2 linked regions of the Drosophila melanogaster genome follow. The protein of the gene in region 1 interacts with the protein of each later gene in a biochemical or structural test. Each region holds a gene or a part of one and is shown on either strand. Other genes may lie near its edges.

What was found.
Region 2: the proteins of corn (region 1) and insc form a complex in vitro, tested with the Drosophila melanogaster proteins (one study listed by BioGRID).

Annotation. Positions count from the first base shown.
Region 1 is NT_037436.4:7,153,871-7,158,857, forward strand, and holds the start of corn (cornetto), read right to left. Parts: upstream 3,204-4,987; 5' UTR 2,066-3,203; intron 1-2,065. Other genes in the region: CG8620 (uncharacterized protein), read left to right, coding at 4,377-4,940.
Region 2 is NT_033778.4:20,832,853-20,837,955, forward strand, and holds the start of insc (inscuteable), read right to left. Parts: upstream 3,177-5,103; 5' UTR 2,818-3,176; intron 1-2,817.

The sequences.
Region 1 (4,987 bases):
ATATACATACAACCAAACCATTAGAATAGAACACCCATACAAATTCAATTTTTTCTCGCAGTGCATGCAACGCCGAAAGCGGCACAGACAAAGCGAATGGAATGGAAAGCATCTGGAGACGCCTGAAAGTCTCGCCTGAGAGCCTCGCTCATTGTCAACGCGCGTCTCGAGTGTGTCTTGGCAAGGTTCCAGTCCAGGCCGGGTTTTCGTCTCCAGAAGCGTTCTCTCAAGGCATAAACCTCTGAAATGGTATAGCCGAATGGCCATTGTCTGGAGAAAGACGAGATGATGAGGCTGCAGCTTGAATTCAGCTCTGTTTGCCCTCGTTTATCGTGTTTCCATGGGGTTGCCAAATCACAAACGAGGCGAATCTGGCCATTCAACTGACCTTGAAAACCAACCCAGACATGTGTTCGCTTATGAGTCCGTTACTGATTATAAACAATGCAACATTTGAACAAGGGGTACCAAGCGGAGTGTGGTGTGTCGCCAAAAACAGGCTCAAATCAGTGAGCTGCTAAATTTCGCACACTTCAAAAACTTGTTTATCATAAATTACGGCCATTGTTATTGAGATACCCGCTAATCGGGCACATTTGTATATGTATATCAGGGGAAACACATTGAAAATGCAATGTGTTATTATCTTTTGGGATAGGGGGCAGGCCAGCCAAAGTGGTAAGAAGTGCTAAAGCTGAAAAGTGCTGATAACTCCTATCGCCAATTGGTGTGTGGGAAAGCGAAATGTGTCACACGATTTGTTCGACGAGTGGAAAGTACAAGAACGGTGGCTTGCTTGCTTCTAGCGGCTCTTGCACCGGAAACTGCACTAATTGATGCTTAATTAGCGATTTCCTCAGCTCACTCTCCATTACGACATCCCCCACTTCAAGTCGCCAAGTTGTCGCATTATGGAGTAACGGCTAACATGTCCGCTGCTCCATCAACCGGGGCGCTTATGAATATGGTAAACGCCATTTAAGCAGGCCGGAAAAATGGTAGCATATACCAATTATTAATTCAAGGAAATGGGAATCGATTGAGCACATTGATACTATTTACTTGACAAATGTATATACTTTTCTAAGTAAACTTAAAACGCAATTGCTTGCCTAAATCCATGCAAACATTAAGTATTACCAAACTTTTTAAGCAAAAAGTTTGGTTTTTGCTACATTTCCCTTTGTATCTTTAATGCAAAAACGTCATGCTGACCTCCATTTTGCAGCATAACTTTTTGCAGTGTGTCAAGTTGTGACTGTTTGACTGACTGAGTGACGGACTGACATTAAATTGCACTCTTCCTGATTGCTTCGTCGCTTCAAAATCGATTATCGCCGAAGTCATGCAACTGAAATTATATTCACCGCTTGCCACATCCATATATGTATGTACATATGTACATACGTATATACGCTTTTACATACAAAGTTAACGCTGCATAATGAAGCGGACTACGTGGCTAGGATACAAAATCCGGAAGCCCCTCAGTCCGGCGGTCCTGACCTTTTTAATTTCAGCTAAAAACCAAAGCCGCACGACGCCAACACACCTCTGACCCACCACAACCACCCTCTCGCCCACACGACGATGTGGCTTCAACATAAGACGCAGCTCATATTCGATAACCACTTTCTACCCGCCAATGAGTTACAGTGGAGATTGGGTAAGCTTAACTTTTATCCTGATACAAAAAACAAAATATTTGCTTAAATTTGGCTTGTTACATAAGCAAAACTTTCATTTTCTTCGTAAAGAAAATTAATTGTACTTAAATGCTATGGAAAAACTATAAAATTTTACACGTAAGAGCCATTTGCCTTTCCCCCATATCCCACATCCATTATAAAAAAATATAAAAAGGACATTAAGATTTGTTAATCGATTTCAATTTAAAACTGACATTAACAAACAAAAAAACGATGTATCAGTTGGTATTAGTAAACTTTCTAAGACCAAGTGAAGGCAATTTCTAATCAGTTTGTGCTCAAAGCGATATTCTCTGCAATTTAACTTAGAACTCGCAGAATGTTCTACTTAGTGGCGTTCCACTGTAGCTACTCACCCACGGAGCTGGAGTTGAAGGAGGAAAACTGTGCCAGCGGTTGAGGAGGTTGAGGCTGCTGCTGGAGTTTCGTTCGTTGATTCGCTCGTTTGCTGTTTTGTTTGTTTGTTTGTCGGATTGTTGCTGTCTTTGTCGCTCAGTTGTTGTTCCTTTGGTGGGCGACGATGGAAATGTCAGAGGGTCGCGGTATTGGTATTACGGCCTCCCAGGGCATTCTCTTTTCGCTTGAGTTTTGATTTTTTTTTTTGCTTTGCCTGATAATTCTATTATTGCTCTCGCTCTCTTGGGGGGGAGTGCAAAATAATGGATGGCAATTCGCGGACGGAAATTTGCGAATTTAGCGCGTCGCTTCAATTTTGTGCAAATTGAATGCACAAACACTGAGAAGTGGAGAGAAATTACTAACTTCGGCGTTCTCCCTGTCTCCCACACACACACATACACGTGCACGCGCGAAATTTCGTGACAGCTGCAGCTGGAGAAGAAGAAGAGCATGAATGATCGCTCAAGGACTCGGTATCGTCCTGCCGTTTCCTCTCTCTCTTTCTCTCTCTGGTTCACTTCCTTTTGTTGTTCCGTTTACCTAACACAACGGCTTATTTGTATTGTCAGGACCAACTCACACACACGCACATACACGTACACTAGCGCACTGCAGCTGAGCCCAAAGGAAAAATCGATGATGAATCTGCGAATTAAAAGTCTATAGCCGCACATCGATTAATCTGCAGCTGAAGCGAGTCGCTTTAATTTAGTTTTTCAGCCTTGTTTTTGCTGCTTACGAGGAAAAAGACAGCAAGGCTTCGTTGAAAAACCCGTTCGGCGCGCAGGAAAGTCGGAAAAACGAAAATCGTATAGCGGCTTGGTAACAAAACGCGCCCACTCGCGGAAAACAACAAGTTTAAATATTAATTAAATCGATTTATATTTACTAAATCATAATATACATCGCTATTACTTCATGTAGGCGAGCAGAAGCACACTCCACGTCGAATTTATTGTTCGTTTGCTTAAAAAATCAGTTTCAATTGCCGCAACTCCGTTGGCATTAAAGTTATAACGATGTTTCTTTAATAATATTTTTTAATGGTAACCGAAAAAACAGCGCGCGCTGCTGCGCTCTCCCGAAAAATTACAGAGAGAATGCGTTGCGAGCTGCTTATATAGATTTTTAAAATATCAGAGAAACCAAATGATGGTAATGTAAAAATACCAAAGCCGGGAAATCGCGTTTTAACAGTCTGTTAACAGTCTGGCGTATCACACTGTTAATTCTCTTCAGCGGTTAAATGTATCTATTGGATGCGCCAAATATATCTTATCCATATTAACAGCTATTTTGATTAAGAAAACTTAGACTCGTTTAGTTTTATTTAAAATTTTTTAATAGTTTTGAATTATTATACCTTTTGTCGATTTTTAAATATAAGTAAACGTAAGGAATGATTTTAACCGCTTGTGGTTAAGACTGCATATTTTGGCGGGCACAATTCAAAAGCAATCATGAAAATACCACAATAAAAATACTAGTCTCAAGCGGTAATGTCTTATACGTAGTCTTATACCTTAAAATTAAATAGCAGTTCTGTAAAATATTTAACCGTTTAGTATTTCTAAAATAATGTGCTAAACCTGATTTATGCAATTATTAAGATCCCAAAACATTTTCAAAAAATTGTGTAAATTTCTTAATACTTTATATTCTTAAAATTTTCGATGATTTAAAACGATAAAATAATTGTTTTAAAATTACACACTTGGACGAAATTCAAAATTAAAATTATATCAAAATAATGTCATATTTCACAAAATCGTAAAAAATAATAAAAGGTATGCTTATAAAAATACGCAGAATATTTATAATGCATATAATATGCAGAAATACAAAAGTAAGAAGAATTTCGCAAAAATATGAAATATGTTTGAGGTTACGTTCGGCAATGAAATTATGTAACATTAAAAACACGTGATCAATGGAAGTAATTTCCCAAAAACCCATGAATGCGATTTGGTTAAAAATAGCTCAGATGACGTCACATTTATCGTGTGGTTTGTATGAGTATGTGACTGATAAAGAAAGGCAAATGTTTACAGTCCGAAAGTCGCGATTAGCTTGGCGCCAAAGTTGCCTATAAAAGCTCATCGACCGAATGCCGCAGAAGCCAGTCAAATTCAAGTGTTCAAGTGAAGCAGTCGAAACATAAGCAACAGATTCCGCAGCAGTTATATCCAGTTCAGAGAAACAGTAGTTAATCAGTAATTAAAGTGTTGAGTGAATTTCTTATCGGGTCAGTTGTAAACTAGTGCAAAAATGTCGCAATCCGATAACGTGGCACGTGAGCAAACTGCGGCAAATGCAGGGCCGGATGCATGTCAAGGATGCCGCGGCCAATTGCCAAATGCCACGCCCGTGGAAGTCGAGGACATGGCCTTGCCGTCGATGGAGCGTCTCATTCGAAAGGCCAACATGGCCCAGAAAATGCTGAACGATGTGATGAAACAGATCCAGAAGCAGCAGCAGCAGGAATCTCAACTCTCCATCAAGGAGACCAAGTCCAAGCACCGCAGCTCCGATGGAGGTAAACGACGACACAGAGGACGCAAACATCATAGTCATAGTCATCACACTAGCTCATCTTCCAGTTCCAGTTCCGACCACAGTGACTGCGAGCTGATCCTGGCGGAGAAGGAGGGGCACATGCCGCGGAGAAGACACACGCGAGATGACCGCAAGCGGGATCGTTCCCGGTCTCGCGGTCGCTCCCGTGGTCACTCGCGTGGTCGTTCTCATGGGCGTTCTCGTTCCAGGTCCTACACCGATTCCCGACGATCTCGAGCACTACCCCTGGCTCTGCCCGTTCGGATTTCAGTGTGAGTATCTGGCTTCATTCAGTATTATTCAATATTCATTTTATATATTAA
Region 2 (5,103 bases), on another chromosome or scaffold:
TCAATTTTTTCACAGGAATTGCTTTGCGGCCGAACAACACCAATCTAATTAGGGAACACCTACAAAGACGACTTCCCAGCCGACGGCGCAATTCTAATTGGATTAGCCAGCGAAGCCGGTGAAGAAGGCATTTCAGGACCCTCTGCCCTTGACCACTGAATTTTTCTGTGGTTCGTTTGTCTCATTACCACCTCCCCCTGCCACGGCACGCCGTTTAAATTGATTGAAAAACAGCCCCTCAATCGATATTTATATCTACATGGGCCAGTCATGAGTAATTCTGCTCATTAGTAGGCAAAGGCAAAGTAATGTAAAAAATGTTTAGCTAACAATCCGGTTTCCACGAGGAGAAATAGCTGAGCTGAGATGCGATGAGTTAATGAGGCTCACAAAGTCACAAATTGCACTTAATTGGGTGTGTTGCATAGTGTAGAAATTGATGTATTGTACATTAAATTCGTGACTAAGAAAATAAGACAATTTTCGAAGTTCGTTGTACTTTTGCCGGCTAATTAGGCACAAAAGGCAGTCGAAATTCATATGCAAATGCCTAATAGAGTTGTCGCCAAACAAGTTTGCGACCAAATAGAATTCTAAAGTCTGCGACAATCTGCCAATTAATTTAAAAATAGAGACAAAATAATTTATGCACTTCAATCTGCGAAAACAGAAAGAAATCAACGGAACTCTTTGCCATATCGCATGAAGATATGATAATGGTTCGTTATCGAAAGCATTTCATAATAAACAAATCAAGAAAAAAAAAAACAGAAAAAAAGCGAGGGAAGCGTGTTGAATAACAAATTTAAGTTCTGGTCAGTTTAAAAGGTACGAATAATGGGAATTGCATCGCAAAATTCAACTGAGAACGGCCAGCGAAAATACAGAAATTACACAGAAAATGTTAATCATGATAATTAAGTTAATATGCGGGGTGGTTAAGTGTTAACTGAACTTGGCTCATTGGGGTCAGCCGCACAAATTGGACACAAGGTGAAATGGGGGAAAGTTGAATGGGGTGGATGGGGTAAATTTCCCCGCTCGTAACCCCGATTAATTAACCAAAAGTTACGGCCCAACCAGATCAAAATCGATTGGACAAAGGCCAGAGCATTGATTAATCCGGCATCCAGCATAATTATTTTAATAGTTTTGACATTTAAACGACAAATTAAAATGGAATAAATGCAAAATAAGAGTAATAAATTTTAATTGCTTGCCACGCCCCTTCCGCGCATCACTTGCGCCCACTGGCAGCTGTTGCATTGATTATAATGAAATTATTATTTATTTATATCGCATCTTTGCGCCATTGCATAATTAATTGTTGTCGTTCGAGTGGCAAACAATTAAATAATAAATCAGTTTTAAACAATCATTTAATTATGTAAAAAACTGAATGAACGCATTAAAACCGTGCAATTATTCAAGTCGCGGCAGCCATAATCCGTTCAATAGAATCGACCATTGTTGCAAAATGTCAAACTGACACATGAGTGAGCAAAAAACAAAGAGTTGCAAATGGTTTAGCAAATGCAATCGACGAAATGTTCCATTTCGCGACATTCCCTGACATTTAACCGACCTGTTCGATGGAAAATCAATAAACTAAGCCAAATTAAACGTTAATCCCACTCAAATGGACAATCATCATTGCTTTGGCATTTCCCATCTAACGGTAGCAACATATCGAACTGGCATTATATACCACTGCTGCTACCGTCGACACCAATTGTCAATGATATCGATCTCTTGGCCGCAACAGGTGAGTGACTTCCAGTGCCGACTGGTTTCCACGTCCAGACGTCCAGGTAATAACACCTCTCCTGATGACCGCCGTAATGGCCGGTGTTTAGCACTCTAATGGAGCCATCGAGACCGCAGAAACGCTCTTAAACTGGAACTAGATCAGTGAGATTATGCGGTGCTCCCTTGATTATTGCAATTAGGCGCGGGCAAACTGAAATTAGGGAAATCTGCGAAACACCACAATGCGGTGAGATTGAAATCGTGCCACTGATATATTCTGAGGTTTCCAGATGAGTCGAGATAACAAGTATTCGAGGTGGCGAAAGCCAACTTCTTCAAATGCATAAGCTGATTAAAATGTAAGAGACCAACCAAAACATTCAAAGAAACTTAAAAATCTTCTTTTAGAAATGTTTTTTATTTCAAGCTACATAACTGGATATTTTTGAGGACTGACTGGAATGTTATTCAATGTAACCCATTCACAACTGCCTTAGAGGTGACTCTTTCCTAGCCAGCAGACTATCACATCTGTGTGCACACATTTCTTTACCCAACCCAATTAGCGTTATCCAATGCTGGGGGCTTAGTCACCAGCACCCCCAGCTCATTCATTCCCCATCAACCTGATCAGTCACCTTAGCCCACTGCCTCCCCCAATTATACGATACATACGTATCTCAGGCAGTTATGTATCCACTCCGGTATCCCCAAGCGCACGGATGACTCATTTGTGGGATCTACGTTATAAAGAACATTCGGAGAAAAGCGAACGAAATCAGTTTGCGGTCTGACGACTTTGACTTTGTGAGGCTCCTGAGTCATAAAACGCGGCTTAGCGAGGTCCTCGAATGAGCAAAAATAAAAACCATCGGAATTTACTTCAATAAATGGGCGGAGGTACATAAATATATACATATGTCTGTAGTTTGTGATTATGTGAATTAAGGCATGTGTAATTACGAGGGGCGTATGCGGAATCGTATTGAATATTTGTGTTTATTGTTAAGCTTATTGGGGTCAAAGCATTCCGAATGTGCTTTACGGTTTATTGTGGCCAAAACTTACCGCTTTCCTGTATAAACAATGCCGAGGTAATCCCAAGTTTGGCTTATGCTTTTGTTGTTGTTTCGGCCGCCACTGATGGATAGTAAAATGTGTATTTCAAGCACGTGTCATTTGATTACTTTTGGGCACCACAAAACTTGACAGTGCGTATGTGTAGTGGGTGGCTGGGTGGTGGGGGTGCTGCACCCACAAGACAAAGCGTAAATAGTTTAACACTGCACAACGGTAAACACAAGTCGACACGACACTCAACGAACGTGGTTAACCCGAACGATACGAAAACAATGATCGAACACAAATATCTCGCGACGATCGCAGCGGTTGCGTCTGCGTGCTTCGACTGCTGGGAATCGAATGAGCGGCTACAGTTGGCGACTTCGACTCAGACTTCTAATTCCCGGGGTGGGAGAGCAGTAAGCCGGAGAGTCGGAGTCAAATTACCTGGGTGAGTAAGGTAGGCAGTGCTGGCAGCTTGACTACTTTCTAGCTAAGGATATCTAATACAATGTTTTAATTGAGTGCATACTTTGAATTATGTGTCTTAAGGTACTGAAAATTAAAGTATTATTAGCTGCTATTATCAGTATCAAGTTTTTATAGGTGATCATAAATCAAATTGAGCATATATCAGCATTTCTAGCTCCTTTAATTGTGAATCTGGCTAACTTTTAGCTACACGGGGTGTGTTATCAACATGGTGCGCTCTCACCTTTCTCTCTTTCGCTCTCCCTATTTGTTTAATAATAACGGGCATAATGAAGAGCATTGTTCGCTTTGTCGCGTTCGTTGTTGTAGTAGTTGGTGGTGGTTTATGCGCTTTTGTTGCTATTTCTTATCACTCACTCCTGTCTTCCCTCTCGCTCTTCTGCGCCAGCTGTTCCGGTAGCATTTTCAAAGGTGCGATCTCTCGCTATCTCTTTCATCTGCTACGCATGCGCAGCTGCCTGAGATTTTGGATTTTTGATTAGGTTCGCTTGTTATTGTTACTGCGATTTTGTGCGAATTTTGGGCGCAATTTTAAGGCAGTTATCTTTTCGTTTAGACTATTTCAACCCTTTGGTATTTCCGTTTCGAAATTTGTTTGATGACTTGCGCAAGTTTGAACACTTCTGGGTGATAAGATTACCCGAAACTTTTAAATGCCCTGTAAATAAAGCCCATTCATTCATGAACGCTCGTGGCCATAAAACGAAAATGTGCCACAAATACACAGTGTTACACTAAAAATTATGAGCAATCGACAGCAATTAGGCAATTGAACAATTTTGCACCAATTATTACAGCCATAAGAGTTCGATCGCCCACCCGTTCGTCGGTGAAAATAATTAAGAGGAGCCCACGATGTGTTTGCTCTTTTCACTATTGCCAATTTGAGATAGTTTCCAAATTGCGAAACTAACTGAAACAATAAGCAAAAGCACAGAGCCAAGTAAGCAAATTAAATCCACAAACAACTAATGAACAAAGTGCACTGAAACTAACAAATGAAAACAATGTTTCGCTTATGAAGGATCGAAATTCATAGAATAAAACCAATATTCAATACTGTATCTCGTTTAACATCTGTTTGCTATTGACACCTTTCAAGAAATTTTAACAACGCGTAGCAATAAAAAAAAAAAATGACAATAAATGCCATTTTCAAATGGCTATACAAATAAATCGTGTCCAAACCGAGAGTTTTAAATCATTAACACAATGTAAACTAAATAGACAATCTGATTTGACTAATAATGGTTTGGGCCGAAAACTTTGAAAAGCACAATCAATTGTCATTTATTGACATTTGTTTATTTTATTTGCTTGCTGACAGTTATGCCTAACTTTTTGTTTATATGAAATGCCATGGCATTGACCCCCAAACTTTTCAGTGTGGAGCCTCACAAAATGAGACAGTTCTGGGGAGCTAGAGGAGTTGGAGTTCAGAGTGCACACGAATGGAATTTCGCCCCATTCGTTGTCAATGTAATTTGTCAGTTCAAAGACCCCGTGCAGCACGAGGACTCCGATTCCAACTACAACTAGTTGTCGTGCCATCCAGCCAGGATGCAAAAGGACCCCGGATCCTACGTGCAAGATGTTTACATCGCGGCGTCGCCCTGACAAATGTGCCAAGTGTGCGGACGTGCGCCCAGGTCCCAGTTCCCAGTACCCAGTACCCAGTTTTCCAGCTCCCAGTTACCAGATCCCAGCTCCTAGCTCCTAGAGCCCAAAAACGCAGATCCCCGAGTCGAGTGCAGCTAAAAAAAATGTAATCAATGTATTTTTGTCACGTTAACGAAATGC